Linked DNA regions of Lytechinus pictus. The protein of the gene in region 1 interacts with the protein of each later gene in a biochemical or structural test. Links are inferred from orthologs where the notes say so. Each region holds a gene or a part of one and is shown on either strand. Other genes may lie near its edges.

What was found.
Region 2: the proteins of E3 ubiquitin-protein ligase parkin-like (region 1) and ubiquitin-conjugating enzyme E2 D1-like form a complex in vitro, tested with the Homo sapiens proteins (3 studies listed by BioGRID). The link is inferred for Lytechinus pictus from reciprocal best matches to the Homo sapiens genes PRKN and UBE2D1.
Region 3: the proteins of E3 ubiquitin-protein ligase parkin-like (region 1) and ubiquitin-conjugating enzyme E2 N form a complex in vitro, tested with the Homo sapiens proteins (6 studies listed by BioGRID). The link is inferred for Lytechinus pictus from reciprocal best matches to the Homo sapiens genes PRKN and UBE2N.

Annotation. Positions count from the first base shown.
Region 1 is NC_087248.1:10,161,550-10,169,537, reverse strand, and holds the start of E3 ubiquitin-protein ligase parkin-like, read right to left. Parts: upstream 3,002-7,988; 5' UTR 2,810-3,001; coding exon 2,600-2,809; intron 1-2,599. UniProt on the Homo sapiens protein: Functions within a multiprotein E3 ubiquitin ligase complex, catalyzing the covalent attachment of ubiquitin moieties onto substrate proteins. Substrates include SYT11 and VDAC1.
Region 2 is NC_087262.1:4,913,007-4,920,678, forward strand, and holds the start of ubiquitin-conjugating enzyme E2 D1-like, read right to left. Parts: upstream 3,017-7,672; 5' UTR 2,745-3,016; coding exon 2,721-2,744; intron 1-2,720.
Region 3 is NC_087247.1:55,175,290-55,182,210, forward strand, and holds the start of ubiquitin-conjugating enzyme E2 N, read right to left. Parts: upstream 3,017-6,921; 5' UTR 2,940-3,016; coding exon 2,913-2,939; intron 2,689-2,912; coding exon 2,544-2,688; intron 882-2,543; coding exon 741-881; intron 1-740. UniProt on the Homo sapiens protein: The UBE2V1-UBE2N and UBE2V2-UBE2N heterodimers catalyze the synthesis of non-canonical 'Lys-63'-linked polyubiquitin chains. This type of polyubiquitination does not lead to protein degradation by the proteasome.

The sequences.
Region 1 (7,988 bases):
AGTTAGTCTAGATTCCAGCTTCCTTCCACTGTGCGAGGTTAGAACTAACCTCGCACAAGGAACCGTGTTTGGCAGAGGATTTTAATTGTTAAACTAGATCTAGTGGTAGTGCCAGTCAGGCCAGTGGTGAGTGGGTCGTGTATGCTGGATGTCACTGCTGGCGTCCACAACACACGACTTCTAATTTTGTATGGCTTGATTTTTCTGTGTGCAGCGGCATGTACCCTTGAGTGCACCAGGCAGTACCCTAACCCAGGGAGCTCCGGCCCGCGAAGCCCTGCAGACTCTAGATCTGTATAGAAAAGCGGGTCGGAGCCCAGGACTCGTCCGTGTAATATTAGGCAGAGTGCTCTCCAAAATGGGGTAGAATGGGGTCGCAATAGCACCCCAAATAAAAAGGGGAAAAATAAATTATGCACTTACCTCGATTATATAGATAAAGGTCTATTGTGACACAGAATCCTGACATCGAGGCACAAACTGGACCCTCAAAAAAGGGAAAGTTCTGTCTCGTTCGTTCTCCTTTCAAAATTGAAAACAAAAGTAAAAAAGGCTGATCGATACCGAGAAATAACTCGACATAGAGGTCTAACTTTTCCTTTTATTGAGGGTCCAGTTTGTGCCTCGATGTCAGGATTCTGTGTCACTCACAGGGTAACCAGTAGTACCCGAGCCCCCTTTTCGAGCCATTGGCGTCAGGGTGACCAGGCGTCCTGTATTTCCCGGTATCGTACAGTATTTTGCTCATTTGTCTCTGCGTCCCGACAGACCCTTCCCGGGACGCATATTTGTCCCGTATTTCAGAATATTGAACAAAATAAAGTTAATACGTTTAAAAGTGAAGAATTTTCTTGAAATAACCAACAGATGACAAGGCAAAGACAACTATAAAATCGATAACTGTAAACTTTTGCAAGTTCTGCGGTGATTTTCTTGCTAACCCAAGGATTGTAATCCTTTATGTTTGGATTTGAAATCAATAAAATTAAACTTGAAACTTGAAGCTTACACTGCAAACGAATTGGCCTCCTGCCTGTGTGTGGCTACTAGCTCGGCATGTAGGATCGGAGCAGATTCTAAATGGTGCAAACAATCTCACATGATATTGGTAACAGTTTTCCACCAAAATAATCACAAAATCGGCAGGAATTTTTTAAATTATATTATGGATTGATTTTCTCAGATTACTGATTTGGTGATGTATTGAGTTTTCATAACCAGATCTATGTTGTTTCAGCTTTCGTTTTGAGTCTTCTTGTGATCGGTGCAAGCTTGTAATATGGGATGGAAGAGATGCCTGTGTGTGATGCCGCGATGTTTCATCTAATTTTTAAATTTTTTTTTGCTTTGAAATTTTATTCATTTCTGAAACATTTTAGTTTTTTTTATTCAAAAAAATATATATTAAAAAACACCAAATACCGCCTTTACCGGTAGGCTATTAAGATTTTTGTTAGATGATTGGACTTTTTTGTTTGCTTGAAATTTGAACTTTTTCCTCTTTCTTTCTTTTCTATCCTTTCTTCATCCTATCCTTCTTGCTTGCCCTTTTTTGTTCCATTTATCTTTCTTTCTTTCCTGATCCTTTCTATCCCTCTATGTTCATTTTTCTTTCTTAATTCCTTCTTTCTTTTTTATATTTCCTTTTTTATTTCCTTCCTTCAACTTTTCTTTGCTTCCTTCTTTTTATTCTCGTTCTTTCTCTCCTTCCATTATTTTCTTCTTTTATTCTCTCCTCCCTTCATTCTTTCCTCCCTCTTTCATCCTTTCTTTCTTTCAATTTTTCCTTCTAATTATTTTCCCTTATTCTTTCTGTCTTTCCCTCCCTTCCTTCCTTACTTTACTTGTTTTTCTTCTTTCTTTCCTTTTTCCATTTTCTGAATCATTTTTCTTTCCATCATTCTTTCTTTCTTCCTCCTTTTATCTTACTTTTTTCCTTTCTCTCATTTATTTTTTCTTTCACACATTCGTTCATCTTCCCTTCCTTTCTTTCTTTATTCATTTTTCTCTCTTTTATTCTTTCTTTTATCCTTCTTTTATTTTAATTTTTTTTCTTGCACTTTCCCTTTTATTCTTTTCTTTCTTTCTTTTCAATTCATCTCTTTTCTTTGTCTCCTTCATTCTTTCGTTCATCCTCCCTTCCGATTCTTTATATTTTTTTACAATTCTAATTTTTAGCCTTCTTTGTTGATCTTTTTCATTAAGCCTAGGCCTGGCTTGGTCGATCCGCTCGTGCAGCGTGCTTTGTCGATTGTGACTCCCGTATAACGTATTTCTTTTTGACTTTTGTGAAATCCGGGGAGCGTTTCATCAACATTTTCGTCCGACAAGTTGTCAGATCTGACATCTTTCCTTGATTTTGATTGGCTGAGAGGTACTGTTCCTATAGTAACTGTCGGATAAAATGGGACTTGTCGGATAAAACTTCTGACATGACGTCACAAGTCCTTTCATGAAACGCCACCCTGGACCTGGTCACCCTTTTTGTTGGTTGACGTTGTGCGGATCTGCGTCTTTTCATTCATTCTTTCAATCATTAATTCAGGCGCAGTAACTTAGAATCTAAAGTTCTAAACACTTAATCTAACGTTAGGCCTACCTCCATTGTTTGCACATCAGTGATCAACTTCCCAGCGAATATCAGGCGAATATCTGCGGGGGACTGTCCCGAGAGACGAGCAACCTCGTCTCGTATCTCGGCCCCACTTTGCGTCGCGTGAACAGGCATCCTCATTTCTGCTACATTTCCGGAAAATTTACCCAACCTTGGAGACTGAATGAGCCTGACTGATATAAGGATCTGGTCCATCTTTGAATGACACGTTGAAATATTGTAAATCACATAAAAAGTGACAAAACATAATTTATAACCATGAATGATAACGTCGTTTTAATAATACAGGCCAGGCCACACGAATACATCGCGCGCGCGTGGCCGGCGAACACGTGAAATTTTTGAAGCGCGCTCAGCTATTCTGGAAAAAATCGTCTGCTGGAGTAGAACAGCTGACGAGTTCGAAAATCCCCTGATGAAAAAATTAGTTGATCAAAAAGGGACCTGTTAAAGGACAGGTCCACCCCAACAAAACGTTGATTTGAATAAAAAGAGAAATATCCAACAAACACAACACTGAAAATTTCATCAAAATCGGATGGAAAATGAGAATGTTATGACATTTTCAATTTCGCTTAATTTTTTACAAAATATAGTTATATGCACATCCTGGTCAGTATGCAAATGAGGGAACTGATGACATCACTCTCTCACTCACTATTTCTTTTTTATTTTATTATATGAAATATTCTTATTTTCTCCTCATTTTCCTGTGAAACAAAGTTTTATTTTGCCCTGAACATGTGGAATTACCATTGTTTAACATAATTTTTATGGCTCAGTCAAGTTGGTCCTTATTGTCAAATCTGTAAAAATTGAAATATTGTATAATTCAAACAATAAAAAAAAAAAAGAAATACTATAGTAGTGAGTGAGGGACATCATCAATTCTCTCATTTGCATGTGACTAAATTGTGCATATAACTATTTTGTGAAAATCTTCTTATTTTACATCCTATTTTGATGAAATTTTCAGCATTATGCTTTTCTGATTTTTCACTATTGATTCAAATCAACATTTTTTTGAGGTGGACTTGACCTTTAACGGCTGCTTGCAGTTAGCCATGAAGACGTTACATATTTCAACAATCAAATACTAGTAATGCGAGCGCGAAGCGCGAGCTGAAAATTTGACATTTCTACCTGAAGAATGGACATTCTAAGCACTTTTTGCAATCGTGAAAAGGATAAGTATATACAATAAATGCGAGCGAAGCGCGAGCGGAAAAATTCGAGATTTACATTTAAATATGGGACACTACTCTATTCATGTTTGGTACATCATGAAAAGGATGAGTAATTGGAAATCTTCCTACATCAATAATGCGAGCGCAAAGCACCAGCAGATTTTTTTTTAATATTGTGATCTGAAACTGGATAATAATTTAAATAGAGAACAAGCTGCGTATCTGAACATGCATATACGCGCGCGTGTTTCAGATTTTGGCCTAGAATCTAGGCATTCTAAATACCTTTTCAATCATGAAAATCAATTATTTATTTACCTATTTATTTCTTCAAATAATATTTCCATAGGGTGCCCTGTCAGCAAAGGCTGGTATCAAAAGGGGCCCTAAAAGCATTACAAAAAACACGTAGGCCTATATACAAGTGATAAAAATATACAAAGTAAAAACATTATATAAATCATACATATTAGAATACAGAAAGGCATGCAAAGTCGGAGTCATTAAAATATTTGTAACACCGGACATAATATATGATTTGAGTTTTTTTTTTTAAATAGAGAGGGTGGATATGGTTTTTAAATGAAGGGGCAAGGAATTGAACATTGATATATTGAGGAGATAATGAATGAGTATTTATAGTATCAGTATTGCATTTTGGGACATCGAGTTGTAGGTTGGAGGCAGATCTTGTTTAAAGTTATCATTAAAGACATCGGAAGATAAATTATTTAGACTCTAAAATATTAATATACATCGGAAATACATTACTCTTTGGTGATAGGAGAACCATTCTAGTTTTTTTTTATTGATCAGACGGGCTGAGGACGTGAGCTCTGTTTGAGTATTATATTCTGGCAGCAAGTTTCTGAAGTGTTATTATTTTTATTCGTTTGTGTGATAAATCGTAAACCCCATACTTCACAACAATTGTCAATTTGACTTTGGATTAAACAGTTATAAATTTATTTTGATGTGGTAAGATCATTGAATGGATGAAAAGCGAGCGCGAAGCGATGGCTTAAAATATTTGATATTCCGATCTGAAAAATTGTCAATTTCAGCTCTGTATTTCAAGCACTTTGTATATAGGAAAATTGTGAGGTGGATATGGATCACAGTTAAAAAAGAGCTGATATCATGGATATGTTTCATTATTTTTACTTTGAGTTTTGACATAGGACCCGGGGCATTCTACGAACATTATGTCGTCATATGAAAATGATGACTATCTTCCTATTTCTCTTCCTAAGCGCTAGATGAAACTTGTTGAAATTCCTTTCTGAAAAAAGACAATTTGATTTGTAAATTAATATCTTATTTATTAATCTAATAAGCCTCGTGAGAGCGTGAAATCTGTTAATATTATGGCCTGAAAATTGGACATTTAAAGCACTTTATGAATAAGATGCATGAATTAATATATTTTCAACAATCAATGCGAGCGCAAATCGTGAGCCGAAATTTTAGATAAACTGTCATGAATGGGGATTTTAAAGGGATTGTCAGGGCTGAAAATATTTATATCTAAATAAATGGAGTGAAATTCATAAAGCAAAATGCTGAAATTTCATCAAAATCGGATAACAAACACTGACAAATATGGAAATTATTGAATTTTAAATTTTATCAATATTTTGTGAAAACAGTTCTATGCACATCGTCATGATTATACATAAGTTGGGCTGATGATGTTATATCCCCATTTTCCTTTTTCTTATGTTATTACATGAAATCACAAATGTTTCATATTGTCACACATGTGAAAATGATGTGTCTCCATTATGATGAAATAAATTGCGGCAATAAAAACTGATGCACTTAATCAGTTGTCGATCCAACTGTTTAAGTTCTTGGTAGATTTTTTTTTGAATAAACCTGATTTCATAAAATAAAACACAAAAGAACAAGTGGGTATATGACATCATCAGCCCACCTAATGAATATTCATGAAGACATGCTTAGAACTGTTTCACAGGAATAATGCAAATCTTTAAAATTCAATAACTTTTTCTGCATTTTTCTCTGTGAATTTTACTCTATTTATTGACATATAAATATTTCCAGCCTGGACCATCCCTTTAAGTAGTTTGTTATAGAATGAATACTGAGATATGCATATAACTGATTAGGGATAATTTCGAGAACTTTATGGAATACCGGGAAATAAAAGGTATCTGACAAAACAAATTCTGCGAGCGCGCAGCGCGAGCATAAAATGTTAATATTCAGACCATAAAACACAAATTTTTGCAGAGCACTTTTAAAAAATAAATGTCAATCAATCAAAATAATGATTTCCGAGCTGAAACGTGTTTTGTAAATTGACTTCAAAATTTGATATTTTAAGCTCCATATTGAGCAAGATATGTTAATCACCAAAAAGCGATAATTGTTTATAGTGACATGAAAATTTTTGAAATTTTCTTCCAAGTCTTCCCCTCATCTTTTTTTATTCACTCGTCTTCCTCCTTTTATGTTTCCCCTTCTTTTTCTCCTCTTTTATTTTCTTTCTTTCCCCCTTTTTTTTCTTTTTTTTTGCTCCGCCAATAGGGGGGGGGGGGGGCGGGTCTCGTTTTCAAGTAAATATTCACCAAATATATTTCCTCTCATTATTTTGGTTAGTGCAATACGTATAATGAATTCCTACAAACAAGTCTTAAAATACCATGAAGTTCGGGTATCAGCACGCGCACGCGCTTCGCGCTCGCAATATTTGATTAGTGAAATAGGCCTACGTATCATCTTCATGATTACAACCACCAGCGTATCCAGCATCAACTACGACAAAGAAAATGTATGGGCCCGTGCAAAAGCATGATACAGTCACTATTGTCCCTCATTATTGGGCCCATGATGCTTTCATAATAGGATCTGATGCTGGATACGCAACAGATGACTACAAAAGTTCTTCATATGTGTTTAGGTGTGAATCTAAAAAATCAGCAGTGAGCGCTTGACGCTCAATTTTTTTTTCTTTCTTCAAATTAAATGACGATGGCGAGATATCGATATGTATATGCTCTTCATCATGAATTCCTTTTCTAAAAATAGTCCTTAAGGACGTTCCACAGTTAAAATGAAATCATTTTAAGCTTCAGCACCTAATTATTCCAAATATGCAAAAAAAAAACCATAATAATAAAATGGGTTCATGTGCTTGTCTTTTTGCTATCAGCTCACCCAATTTGAAGTTTGTATTCACAGGGTTTGGACATTTTCAGACTTCACGTTGAGTTTAAATAATTCAATCAAAATCCCTGTAAATTTCATCACAGTATAATTCAAATTGTATACTTAAGATGGATAATCTATTCACATTGTTATTTGATTGCCCTTTTAATGCTAGCAGCACCTTCAATTCACAATAGCTATCTCACAAATTTGAAATTTCTGTAACAAATTTGCGAAGTACAATAAATGCTACACTTTTTCCAAAACGCATATGTCATTTTTACCAAAATTTGCAAAGTTGGAGAGGAAAGTATACTTACGAGGTGTAAACATCAAGTAATAGGGGTTCATGTGCTTGTTTTTAAACTCACCAACAATATGTTGCGCCAATGCGGGCCAATGCTTTGTATATGAGAAGAAACATCTCTAACTGATCTACCGTTTATTCAAACTCGAGGTCATATTCGTCATTCTTTGCAGTATAATTCCAATGCAGAGTTAAAGTATTCTGAAATTGTAGAGGTATTTCAAAAATGGTTCCATGGATTATTTTCAGCTAATATACGTTTTATAATTATCATGATTATGATATGTTATTGGAATGCATATCAAGGAAAAATCCACTGATACATAATAACTAATTTAATCATATATTACTATATGGTTTGCAATGTTTATTTGTTGGGCAAAATCTGGGTACTGTATAACATAAAGGTTGGAAATTGGAAATATATAGGGACGGTGAACTTCATAAAATATGATGACTAAAACGAAAATAATTTATTTATTCATTTATTTATTTCAAATCTTTAACCAGAAGTGCCTGTTCAGCGTTGTACAACTTAATATGCAAAATTACACAATATATACAATTATTAAGACCTTCATTAACAAAAATCGCTGGTCTTCCACAGGGATCTGCCTATCTAAAAACATATAATTCATAACATAAAGAAAACATAAGTAAAATAATTTCGTGTAGATGCCAGTCCCATGCAGGCAAAGAAGAAAAT
Region 2 (7,672 bases), on another chromosome or scaffold:
GTCATGTGACATGAAACTCAGGCAGGATGTTCAGTAATACTTGATTAACCTTATGGCCAAGTTTCATGAACTAGGTCCATATACTTTCTAAGTTATGCTGTCATTTCAAAAACTTAACCTAAGGTTAAGATTTGGTGTTGACGCCGCCGCCGCCGTCGCCGCCGCCGTCGCCGTCGCCGCCGCCGCCGCCGTCGGAAAAGCGGCGCCTATAGTCTCACTCTGCTATGCAGGTGAGACAAAAACTAAATTGTATAAATAATTATCTGATTAATGTTATGTAAATTTGGTGCAAAAGTACATGAAATTGCTGATACACTTAAATGCTTGTAAAATCAAACGCACACAAAATAATATGCACAATTTTAATACACAGTCGGCTTGTGTGAGTGGCTGTATATGTGTAATAGAAAACATCAAGTTCAACAAATCAGAATAAATACTTTTAATATTTTGAACATGAAAAATAAGCAAATAAGCTACATGTAACATCATGTACATGTACCGGGTAGTAGTTTTAGTATAATTCTTAATTGACCATGCAGTGGTCCAACTTTAATTACCCCTTATATGGGGGTAAGTTGGAACACTTGCGATGGTCTTGTTCAAGGTGGATTTTTTCAGTAACCATTCATAGAGTTAAAGGGATGGTCCAGGCTGAAAATATTTATATCTTAATACATAGAGTAGAATTCACTGAGAAAAATGCTGAAAATTTCATCAAAATCGGATAACAAATAATAAAGTTATTGAAGTTTAAAGTTTAGCAATATTTTGTAAAAAAAGTTGTCATGAATATTCATTAGGTGGGCTGATGATGTCACATCCTCACTTTCTGTTTTCTTATGTCATTACATAAAATCATTTTTTTTCATTATTTCATACTTGTGTGAATAATATGTCTCCCTTATAATGAAATAAGTTGCAGCAATAAATATCTAATCCACCAAATCAGCTGTCAATCCAATTTTTCTAGTTCTTGGAGAAAAAAATTTGAATAAACATAATTTCATATAATAAAATACAAAAGAACAAAAGGGGATGTGACATCATCAGCCCACCTAATGAATATTCATGACAACTGTTTTCACAAAATATTGCTAAACTTTAAAATTCAATAACTTTGTTATTTGTTATCCAATTTTGATGAAATTTTCGGCATTATGCTGAGTGAATTCTACTCTATTTATTCAGCTATAAATACTTTCAGCCCGGACCATCCCTTTAAAGAATTTTATGGGTACATTTGTAGCCTCTATGTTTAAAGCTGATATATTGTTTCTTGAATAAAATCTCTTTGGACTTTACAGCCATTTTTGTCAAAAATATTCCAACTAACCCCAATCTCCCCTAATTATCTTACCTTTGTCTGCTTGATTTATTTTCCAAAGCTTTGCAAAACGATCGTGCGCAAATTAAGGTCACAATTTTTTATGACACTTTTTCATCCAAGCGCGCACTAGTCGATCGCCATGGAATTTTGAGATCGCAATACGAGCGAAACCCTTGACCTACTTTATAATTCCGTCAAGCGAATTTGACTTTGGGATCTTGCCTTCCAACTGGTAGAACTTTATGATTTTGATTAATTTTGTGTGAACTGTTGATTGAAAATCAACTTCATAATTCTTAAAATGTGCGCAAATTATGTTTAAACTTTAGTCACGTAGTAGAGTACGCTTAGCCTTAGACTTTTTTTTAAAATGACGTGTTGCTTCTCTTAAAATTAAAGTCTTAGCAAAAAGTGACAGTTTGTTACTAGTTTTTGAGAGCGAGTATTTGTGGCCCGAGGGTTCGGTTAGGTGTAGCGGTAGTGCAGTGTTGTGGAGCCTACATTATAGTATGGTCAGTTCCCCCATGTCTGCGCGGTCTCCCAAGTCTGCGCACCCGCGTATCTGCGCGATTCTAGTAAAAGAAGATACGCAACGAGCACGATCTTTACACATGCAATACATAGACAGGTATTCATAAAAAAATCCGACTCAAAATGGTTGAAAAATAATGAATTCAGGGCATTTCATGTGACGGCCTCAAAATGCAGCCTTTGTCATCAAAATCCCCGAATCGTGTGCAAAGTGAATGAGTGCGCAGACATGGGGTACCATTTTTTTTTTTCAATCTGAAAATGACTGCCCGAGGTTTTTTCAAGAAAATCTTATATTTTCTTTCATTTTTTAATGAGAAATTTGGTACACTTACTCTTAATAATATAAGGAACACTATTAACCAAAGATTTTGTGAAATAAAAAGGAAATTCATGTTAAATCTTAACTCAAATTGTTAGGTGCGCAGACTTGGGGCCCACCATCATACATGATCATGAACCATCGCCTGCTGAGCTGAGTCTAATCATAATTCATATTATTATTAACCTTGTTTGTTCATTGTTGAATGAGCATGATGAGTGGTCTACGACTAGGGATTTTACTTTTTACTAAATTTTAGATCTCGTCTCTTTTTAGTTTTACTCACTCTCCCTTGGAGTTGGATTATACACATGATAGTGATACACATTATATTACTAAACGTAAGTTATAGACACAGGGCCTTGTCTAATTCATGTTTGGAATAGATCTACACTGCATCTGCAGTGCAGAACATATTCTGAACATCCTGATTCACACACAAACATTCATGATCCATTCCATGCACTGCAACTGCACGTCCAGAAAAAAAAAGTCCAAAACAAAAAGTGTGAATTGTGATTGTAAATTCTAACTCACCTTTGCTATTCTTTTTAATGCCATTGCGACTATACAGTAAACAGGTTCTAAAGATTGTAAATAACGTAAACAAAGGCACCAAATGCCCAGAATCTAGTGGAACTTGATCATGGAATCGTTACTCATTAGCCTTTTCGTTGTCTATTTGTTGTAGTTTGCGTATTTTACGTGCATCTTCTGCAAACTGCATTGCAATCGAATCTACGGTACGGTACGGTACGACGAAATTACCATTCACGCACGCGCGCGACCTTGAGGGCAAAAGAAACGGGCGTGCGAGCTACACTTGTTGAAGTGATAGCTGGCGAACAGCGCGTACGACGTCATGATCATATTGCCAAATACAGGCAATACGGAAAGAACTTACATCACAGAGCCCTCATTCGCTTGAACACAACATGTGATTTGCTGTAGTAACTATAGTTGCGTAACGTAACAAGAAAAGTGAATCATCTCTAACGAAGTTAATTTCACAGCATTGGGAAGAGATGATAATCGGATTTCTCGTATTCTTAGAAAAGAGGTTAATTTCAGGCAGCCTTAAACAATTTGAATTGCATGAATAAACCGAGGAAACATAACCAAACAGGCATTATAATTATAGAATTGCATCAAAATCAGATAGCCCGATAAAATAATTAATGTAGGCCTGAATTGCAGGGCCGTAGCCAGAAGCATTTTGTTGGGGGGGGGGGGGGGTGTACCAGCTAAATTTGCCAACTAAATTTGGCATGACAGCGCCAACGTGAGCACAGGGGGAGTCTGATGGGGGATGTGCCCCCCCTACAATAATCAATTGCTAAAAGATTTTGAATTTTTAGAATTGAATTAGTGGCATTTGGTGAATACTTTAAGGTAAATTATATACAAAGATATACAAAGATATTTGCACTTTAAAAATAAACATTTTGGATCAAAATAGAAAGGCTAGTGTGCCGTAGTTGCTAACTTGCAGTATATAATGATATACCCTATGCATTAATAATATCAAAATCAAAGATTTATTAATTTTTGATTGACCTTCTGTGCAAGATGTCTCAACTAAAATTTCAAGAATGCTACTGCTAACAGTGGCGTACCGTGGGTCACGGCATGGGGGGGGGGGGGGGGCACCAGCAAAAATTTAGAGTCATTAAGTGGGCGCGCGTAGCGCGCTCAATTGCCAGGTATACTGACCTGATATAGAGACATTTTAAGGACTGTGCCATTAAACGGATATGTATCTTAGTGATCAAATAATGCGAGCGCGAAGCTCGAGCTGAAAATGTTTGGTATTCAGTCCTAAAAAGGGACATTATAAGCAAAGTTTTGTAATCATGATACGTATCTGTCTTCAAAACAAACAATGCGAGCGCGAAGCCCGAGCTGAAATTTTTTGTATAACTTAACCCTAAAAAGGGACATTTTCAGGACTATCTTTTGGAATTTATGAAGTGCGTACGTATCTCATCATAGTCATCTAATGCGAGCGCCAAGCGCTTGCTGATTTTGTTAGAATTACACTGGCACATGAAGCACTTTTTGTGGTCATTGTAATCATGAACATGATACGTATTTCACTAATGAAATATTGCGGGCGAGAAGCGCGAGCTGACAATTTTTGAAATTCAGACCTGAAGAGGGGCATTCTATGGCTTGTTTGTAGGAATTTACTATTTCACTAATTAAGTAATGCGAGCGCGAAGCGCGAGCTGAAAATTTGTTATAATTAGATCAGAAAAAGGGACATTTTAAGGACTGTCTTTAGGAATTCGTGCACTGCAGAAACGCCGGTGATTTAACACCAGCCCGGCCGGTATCTATATCGGTCCACACCAATGCGAACGTAAGCACAGACTGGAAATGTTTTATTAAGGCCTTAAATCACTTTAAGTATATAGTCATGAAAAAAGCATATGTCACTACATAAAACAATGATAACTTGAAGTGCGAGGAGTGCGAGTTTGGTGCATAATCATATACCCTTTTTACACACGCTAAAATTTCCTTAACCCCGTACTATAGGTGGGGCTAAATTGCCATTTAGCCCCACCTATAGTACGGGGTTAAGCTTAGCCCACTTTCTTTTTACACAGCATTTTTGCAAAGTGGGCTAACCCCACCTTTAGTACGGGATTATTTGGCCCTGCAAAAAAGCAGGGTTATCCCAGCAATTGCGGTGCTAAGAGCGATAGTACGGGGTTAAGATCGCTAGTGTAAAACGAAAGTGGGCTAAGCTTAACCCCGTACTATAGGTGGGGCTAAATGCAGTGGCGTAGCTAGGATTTTTTTCCCGGGGGGGCACTGGGGGTCCTTGCTTTTTCAGGGGGGGCACCGACCATTTTTCCGGTGTGTGTGTGTATGTGTCACAACTTTGGGCGGATCCGACTTTCGCCAATAGGGGACGGGGCCCGAAATTATCTTCACCTATATCAGTCACTTCTTAGTTTTATTCTTATAAAACAACATAAACATGAAATAATCTCATAAGCCTGATAAAAAGTGCGAGTGCGAAGCGCGAGCGATTTTTTTTTTACTCTCATGTATTTTTAATCTAATTTTCTGGGCAATGTTATGTGTGATCCTGAACAAGATTCGTATGTAACTAGATGGCTACTGCGAACGCCAAGCGCGAACATAAATTTTTATCAACTGTTCTAGCATTATCGAAAAGGGACCTGTTACGGACTGCTTACAGTTACCCACGAAGACGGTATATATTTCGATAATGCGAGTGCGAAGCGCGAGCAAATTTTTTTTTACATTCCGACCTAAAAAATTGTCATTCTAAGCACTTTTTGTATTAATAAATGGGATAGGTATGTAACTAAACAATTGATGCGAGCGCGAAGCGCGAGAGGAAGAAAATTGAGATTTTAGACCTCAAAGCGGGACATTCTATTCATATTTTGTAAATCATAAATAGGATATAGTCAATTGGGTATCATTAATAATGCGATCGTGAAGCGTGAGCAGACAATTATTGATATTCTGATGTGAAACTGGATAATTCAAGTACATGTACATTTTAAATAAAGAACATGCAGGCTATCGCGCGTGTTGTAGATGTAGACCTAGAATCTGGGCATTCTGAATACATTTGTTACATGGAACATTATGGAATACACGTAGACAATATGAACTTCGCAAATCAAACAATGTGACCACGCAGCGTGAGCTTAAAATGCTGATATATGTAGACCATAAAACGGACATTTTACAGAGCACTTAAATTTGTAAATGAAAAAAAAATAATGAAAGCTCGATGTCGAGCTAAAATATGTTTTGCATATTGACTTCAAAACTTGCTCCATATCAGCCTATTGAGCAAGATATGAATCTCATCGAACAGGCAATTCTGGCGCGAAGCGCCAGTAAAAATTTTATATAGTAACATAAAAAGATTTGTTTTTTAATTACATTATTTCATTCACTCGTCTTCCTCCTCTTATTTTCTTCTTCTTTTTTTCTTCTGTCTTTCTTCTTCTTTTCCTTTTTCTTTTCCTTTTTTTCTTTTCTTCTCCCTTTTTTCTTTCCTTTTTTTTTTGCTCTGCCAATTTTTTCTGGGGGGGGGGGGGGGGGGCACCTGGGGGGCACACCAAATCTCAGGGGGGCACGTGCCCCCCCAGGCCCCCCGTAGCTACGCCACTGGTTAAATGGCAATTTGGCCCCACCTATAGTACGGGGTTAAAGGGATGGTCCGGGCTGAAAATATTTTTATCTTAATACATAGAGTAGAATTCACTGAGCAAAATGCCGAAAATTTCATCAAAATCGGATAACAAATAATAAAGTTATTGAAGTTTAAAATTTAGCAATATTTTGTGAAAACAGTCGTCATGAATATTCATTAGGTGGGCTGATGATGTCACATCTCCACTTTCCGTTTTCTTATGTTATTACATAAAATCATAATTTTTTCAATATTTAATACTTGTGTGAATAATATGTCTCCCTTATAATGAATTAAGTTGCAGCAATATATATCTAATGCACTAAATCAGTTGTCAATCCAATTTTTCTAGTTCTTTGAGGAAAAAAATTGAATAAACCTAATTTCATATAATAAAATACAAAAGAACAAGTGGAGATGTGACATCATCAGCCCACCTAATGAATATTCATGACGACTGTTTTCACAAAATATTGCTAAACTTTAAACTTTAAACTTCAGTAACTTTATTATTTGTTATCCGATTTTGATGAAATTTTCGGCATTTTGCTCAGTGAATTCTGCTCTATTTATTAAGCTATACATACTTTCAGCCCGGACCATCCCTTGTAGCGTGTGTAAAAAGGTACGAGTGAAGTACTTGTACTACGAATGATCGACAAAAACCACTAGTCCGGGGTTAGCGAGTTTCGTGTGTGAAAAGCAAGCATTCCTTATCCGGGGTTAGCAATAACAATTTGGCATGTGTAAAAAGGAAAAAAAATAGTACGGGGTTAAGGATAGTAAGGGGTTAGCGATAGTCCGGGGCTAAGAAAATCCTGTGTAAAAAGGGTAGGACTATATATCTCATTAGTCAGACAATGCGAGCACCAGGAATGATGCAACCCCAACCTGCCCCCACTCCCACCCATCCCCATCCTAAGCACCTTCTGACACCATAAATAAAATAAAAAAGTTTAGTAAAAATAACTTAGAACATTTTGGTGTTTTTTGCCAACTGCAAACTTGTAGACAAGTCTACAAGTTGTAGACTTGTCTTCATGAATTTGCCAACTGCAGAGTTACCATTTTTTAAGTCTTGTGTTCTGTTCTTTTCAGATCTGAAACGGGGCAGTACTTGTATCACTTTGCTGACTGGTAGAGCGTATATAGTGTTCTGCCACTTTAATAGGCCCACTTTATAATTTGCCAACTATACTTTGGCTTTGATTATTCAACTTAAACCTTGGAAATTCATTCCACCCAATATTTATGTACTTAGTCTTGCCTTTAATTTTACAAAACTAATGTGTTTGTTAAA
Region 3 (6,921 bases), on another chromosome or scaffold:
TAAAATAAAAATCGGTCTACAATTAAAAAAGAAGAAGCATTTTAGGTGAATTTTTAAAAATACGCATAAATTAGCATAAAAATTGTTCTACTCAAAATTTCAAAATTCTGTGTAGAAGTTTGGTGAACCTCATCAAGCTCTACCAGATGGAAGCAAAAAATTCAAAATCTGTCAACAAATAAAGAAGGAGAAGCATTTTTTTGTGAATTTATAAAAGTGTGCATAAATAAGCATATTTATTGAGTTTCAAATTCTGTGTAGAAGTTTTGAATCCCCCCACCTAGTGCTATCATATAAAGCAAACAGAATTGAAATCGGACTTGAAATAGCGAAGAAGCATTTTGATTGTGGACGGACGGCAGACGACAGACACCACGCCACAGCAAGGGCCAGATGAGCTAAAAAGTAGAAAAAGCTGGGAAATGATGGAAAATATTAATAGTAATACATGTAATTCAATTTGTATGGGATGATCTTAGATGATCAGCTATTCACTATCATCATTACAGATTGCATGAACAATTGACTTGAAGTCCATAGAAGTGGACTTAAAATTTCTTGTATTTAGTCATTCTAATTCAGGTATAGCTTAGTTATTTAAGTAAGTGGTTGATCTCTTTTAATAGATTTCTGTGATATTGCATACTTGGAAATTGAATTGAGTGGCAAGGGGGCTGAAGTAATCGGATGCGACACTTCAATAATCAGGTATGAGATGCATGAGACATTCAAATACTCACCTGTTTTAATTGCCTGAGCCTCATTTAACTTCCAACTCTCTGCAACATCATTTGCTAATGGGTCATCAGGGTTAGGGGCACTCAAAAGGGCTTGAATTGACAACAACACTGTTCGGATTTGAAGAGCAGGGCTCCATTTGTCTGCAAACATCAAAGAAGGATTATCCTGCCATTTAATGTACATTTTTTTACACTGAATACTTTCAAACCTTGAGACTATTAAATATCATATACCGAAATACACCACCAAGACAATTGCCTCAATGATCATTCATTTCTAAACAAAATGTCTTCACCAGATTACTGGATAGGCAGGAGTGACTCGATTGACTTTTGATATATGGTGGTGATTTTTTTTACCTGATAAAGAAAGCATGAATGCTGACAATTTGCTTAAATAAAAGACAATGATACTCCCTCAAGAATAATGAGAGCACACTCTAACTGTGTAGATGAGTTTAGAGCTTTAGAAAATATGTGAGTTGAAAAAAAGAGAGTTTAATGTCAATGAATTGAGAATAATTAAGTGATCCAGGACATATCTCCCCTCACAATGGAATGTATATTGTATAGTCATCAATTAACAAATCTATTCATAATTTAAACTACAAGTGGAATGCCTCTGGCAGTCTCATCTGCATTACGTGATTCGATATAGCAGCAGTGCTGACTTTGAAAACAGATATTTAATAATTTTTTATTCACAAAAGAACTAACTCATAGTCATGTGATAATAAAATACTATGTCCACAGTCCAGTATGTCCATTGACCAAAAATGACATTTGACCATGATCATGTGACCTAAGATGTGTGCAAAACAATCATTCATACTTGATTGCCCTTATGTCTGTTTTATGAACTACATGTGGAGATCCATAACCTTTCGAAGTTATGATGCCAATTCAACAAATACCCTGAACATGGCCAAAGTTCATTGACCTTAAATGACCTTTGATCTTGGTCATGTGACCTGAAATGTGCACAGAATTTTTAGGGATACATGGCTACTCTTATGACCAAGTTTCATGAAATATATATAACTTTTAGAGTTAAGATGACAAATTCACAAATACCCCCAACATCATAAAATTTCATTGACCCTAAATGACCTTTGACCTTGGTCATGTGACCTGAAACTCTGGCATGATCTTCAGTGATACACTATTACCCTTATATCTCAGTTTCATGAACTAGGTCCACATACTTTCTTATGATGACTTTTCAAAAACTTAACCTTGGTTAAGATTTCAATGTTGACGCCGCCGCTGCCGGAAAAGCGGCGTCTATAGTCTCGCTCTGAAATGCAGGCGAGACAAAAATGATGTGATCCCTTGTTTTTACAATATTTCAGTTTGACACATTCTGCAGCTCTAGATAAGGATCAATCGCTGGCACTGATATTCATAAGAGGGTAAATAATCTCCCCATGACATTTTTCATCTACGATATGAACTTTTACCAACAACAGAACACTGGTGGCAGCATCTTAAATTACACCACGATACACCTCTATTTTGCAGTAATCTGTCAAGAAAGGCAGTCTTAAGAGTGTACACAAATCTTCCACAGTAACCTCTAAAAGACCAAATGCTGATGGTAGCCTCACCAAAGGTTCAGTTTTAAAGATACACCTTTGGACTAATTCCAAAGAAATCACTTTAAAATGGGGCAGTTAGAGTGCATACAATAATGATGTAGCCACATAAATACAAAGTATACTATGAAATTTTGCCAGGGGAAGGGGAGACAAAAAAAATGAACAAAAAAGCATGCAGATTTATTAGTAAAATAGTTGTACTTACCTTTGAGTATATCAAGGCAGATACGTCCCAATTTATCCACATTAGGATGATAAATTTTTGTCATAAACCGTACTTTTGGTGCTGCCATTGGATATTCTTCAGGAAGAAAAAGTTCTAGTTTAAAAGTCCCATTTTCAAAAGGAGACTGATGAGAGAGGGAGAAATAAATAAGATAATCATTAGTAAAAATTAATTCGGAATTATCATACAGGCAGATGACAAGGCATTCTAAATGAAAGGCAAATATAGACCAAGTTATTATTTGACAATTTGGTCATAGATGTAATAGGATGAGACCTAATGGCTTTACCATATTAGAGAAAGTGAGAAAATACATGAAGTAGCATTCCACTCCTTGGCAATACTTACATCTTTGGGTCCATCTATTGTCACCATGAATAGTCTGCAATTTGCTTCATCTGGGGTTGCTTTTATTCCTGGTACAGGCTCAGTATTGAGACGCTGTGTCTCCTATTTTTGGTAGTTGTAGAAAGGTAGAGATAAACAAACAGTAAACAAATTAATAATTCCAATAGATTTAGTTGTAAATGAATATTTACAACATTGCAACGATAATAATGAGAAGTTGAAACTTGAATGTCGTCCTAAATGAGAACTAAATAGAACATTTTGTCAGACGAAAATATTGATGAAATGCTTCCCTGATTGCCACTTGGGTTAGGGTCAAGCTTAAAATATAAGGTTCACTGATTTGGCCCTCGACGGTGACCGAGTACTTATTTAAAACACTATCCATGCAGGGGAAATTGTCAATTTAAAGCCTGGCCAAAGCTTTGGTAAATGGTCATACGTAAGTATCATAAAACCAAATACAGAAAATTGCCGTAGAATGTTTATATATAGAGGTTCACGCCTATATAATGACTTACCTTTAGATATGAAATTTATCAAAAACTTAACTACATTTATTACTTCTTTGAGCTCTAAGGTTTCGAAGTACATTGATATCTGAGCAACGCATTGTTTTGCCGGGAAGGGGGGGGGGGGGTATTTGCTTGTAGCTTGAAATCGTAACTTTATATTTAGTTTTATGTCTACTGACTAGCTTTCATTACTTTATATTTTGTTTAATGTCGTTCTTTTCTATTGTTAATGATGTTTATAATACAATCTGATCTATTTTATTATGTTCTGGACCCCTAGGCAGAACAGAGTGGTAAAAATTACCACTCTGAATGGGCAATCCAGCCATTCATATGTATTCATTTTATTTTGTAATTATATCTGATGTATTTTGTTTGTATTTTGCATGTTTTTATGAATGGAAAATAAATACAATACAATACAATCATCTATCCTAGCATTCCAATGTTACAGAGGTGTTGCAGCCGTTGAATCTTTTCGCAACTGCAGATTCTCTGTCAAATTCAAACACACTGTATTCAAATCTAAGATATCTAGTGCTTTATCTCAGCAATATGTTTCTATTTCTTCAAAAGGGGTTCTTTGAGCACTAAATACTGTGAGTTACATTCATCTTACACAATCTAAATTAATATCAGATACAGACAGAGATTTTATCCAGCAAATTTCACCCCATTCCGTGCTTTGGAATGGGTGTTATAAAAAAGAAAAAAAAATCACAAAACTGAGTGGGTTTTTTTTCTTATGATAGAAATATTTTCATGTAAAATCACAAATTTGTAATGTAAAGCATATTTTTCAATTCATATCTTCCACAACATAACTGTTTAGGCCTAGGGCATACAACTAACTTAGAAAGATTACTGATTATACCTCACTTGCCATATATTTTTATCCATTTACATTATTATGTAAAGAAGTGTTTATATTATGGTCCATGATTTGAGAAAGTGGATAGTATTCACTTCCTATTTATACCAAAATTACAGCAACATTTGAATGATTCAACTTTACCAAAAATCTGCAATTCCTGTAAATGAGACAATAAAGCTAAACACAGGCATTTGGTACAAAATGTGATTGCACAAAAATCATTTTCCAAATTTTCATTTTGAAAAAATCCACTCCAAAAGCTTATGACTCAATTTTTAATAAATTTTAGAAGATTTATAACCATGAATTTATTGTTTATTTTCATGAAATAGGAGGATACTCAAAGTTAGAATTGTTAAAGTGTCAGTGAATAAGTGTTTGAAAGTAATTGATCGCAATCAGTACTAATTGGTCATGTAATCAGTTTTTGTTTAAGGAAAAGTCTACCCCCAAAAAAATTAATTTGAATAAAAAGAAAAAAATCCAACAAGCATAACACTAAAAATTTCATAAAAATTGGATGTTAAATAAGAAAGTTATGATATTTTAAAGTTTTGCTTAATTTCAGAAAACAGTTATATGCACATCCTGATCAGAATGCAAATGAGGAGACTGATGACATCATCCACTCACTATTTCTTTTGTATTTTATATGAAATATTCTAATTTTCTCCTCATTGTCAAGTGAAGCAACGATTAATTCCTCCCTGAGCATGTGGAATTAGCATTGTTTAATACCATATAGTTTAGTCAAGTTGGTCCTTATTGTCAAACCTTTAAAAAATGAAATATTGTATAATTCAAACAATAAAAAACAGTGAGTGAGGGACATCATCGACTGTCTCATTTGCATGCCACTGAAATGTGCATATCACTGTCTTGTGAAAAATAAGCGAAACTTTAACATGTCAACTTTCTTATTTTACATCAGATTTTGATGAAATTTTCAGCGTTATGCTAGTTTGATTTTCTCTATTTATTCCAATCAACATTTTTCTGGGGTGGACTTGACCTTTAATAAAAGAAAATATACAACAAGTGGAATGCCTCTGGCCGTCTCACCTGCATCACGCGATTCAATATAGCAGCAGTGCTGATTTTGAAAACTACTATAACTCGCACAAGATGTTCAGTGATACTTGGTTACTCTTATTTCCACGTTTTATGAACTAGACCAATACACTTATAGAGATATGATGGCAATTCAACAAATACCCCCAACGTGGCCAAAGTTCTTTGACCTTACATGACCTTTGACCTTGATCATGTGACCTGAAACTCGCACAGGATGTTCAGTGATACTTGATTACTATTATGTCCAAGTTTTATGAACTAGACCAACACACTTTCAAATTTATGGCTGTAATTCAACAAATACCCCAATTTGGCCAAAGTTCATTGACCCTAAATGACCTTTGACCTTGATCATGTGACCTGAAACTTGCACAGGATGTTCAGTAATACTTGATTACTATTATGTCCAAGTTTCATGAATCAGATCCATAAACTTTCAAAGTTATGATGGTAATTCAACAGATACCCCCAATTCGGCCAAAGTTCATTGACCCTAAATGACCTTTGACCTTGGTCATGTGATGTGAAACTCATGCAGGATGTTCAGTGATACTTGATTAACCTTATGTATAAGTTTCATGAACTAGGTCCATATATTTTCTAAGTTATGCTGTCATTTCAAAACTGAACCTTCAATTATAAATTATTAAGATTTGGTGTTGACGTCGCCGCCGTCGGAAAAGCGGCGCCTATATAGGTGAGACAAAAACTGAATAATGAATTTTCATTCAAAAATTTTACAATTTTTTTTTAATGAAACCCTTGTTACAATAAGTGCTTGATTGCTTGGTTCCTGCTACCTTGTTTTTTTTATTCATTTAGATTTTGAAAATATTTGCCCAACCTCAGCCCAAACCAGTTAAAAAATGGTTTTAATTATATGGCTGTGCAACTAATTTCCATGATAAAAGTCAAGATGGTGGTCTAACCAATGGCAATAAATTTTTCCTTGTTCCTGGTGGTACAGAAAGTCACTCAACTAGTATTGCAATTCGCTAACAGAAATCCAATTTCGATCATCGTTTATTATCAAAACATTTCAGACCTATTTCAGGCTCCATGCAGTTTGAAAAAAAAAAGACAAAAATAAGTGGGTTTTTTTGGGATCGGAATATGGCGGCACGCTGAGGAGTCTCGCACGGTGGACGTCTGTTTATATTCAGCCTTAGTTTATTCATTTTACACTTTCACAGACCTTTGTCATTAGATATATTCTGTTAAACATCATGAGTCACCTAAAACACCAAAGCCCAAGGGATCCAGGTGAGTCACCTGTAAAGAAAAGACCTTCTTTGAGTAGTGAGAATCGCTTAGAGATTTTGGGAGATTTGCACGATGCCAACAACGAGAGTGCTGCCGCTAGCTCTGGCGCTGCTGTGGAGAATACTCCCCCTCCTTGGTTCGCAGAATTCGAAAAGCGGCAGCAGGCATGGCTCGAATGTATTGTTGATTTGTTTAGACAAGAACAGGCAGCCTTGAAGTTCAAGATGGATACACTGAAGGAGGAGGTTGCTGAAGTTAATAAGCTTGCCTTGGCAGAATCCAA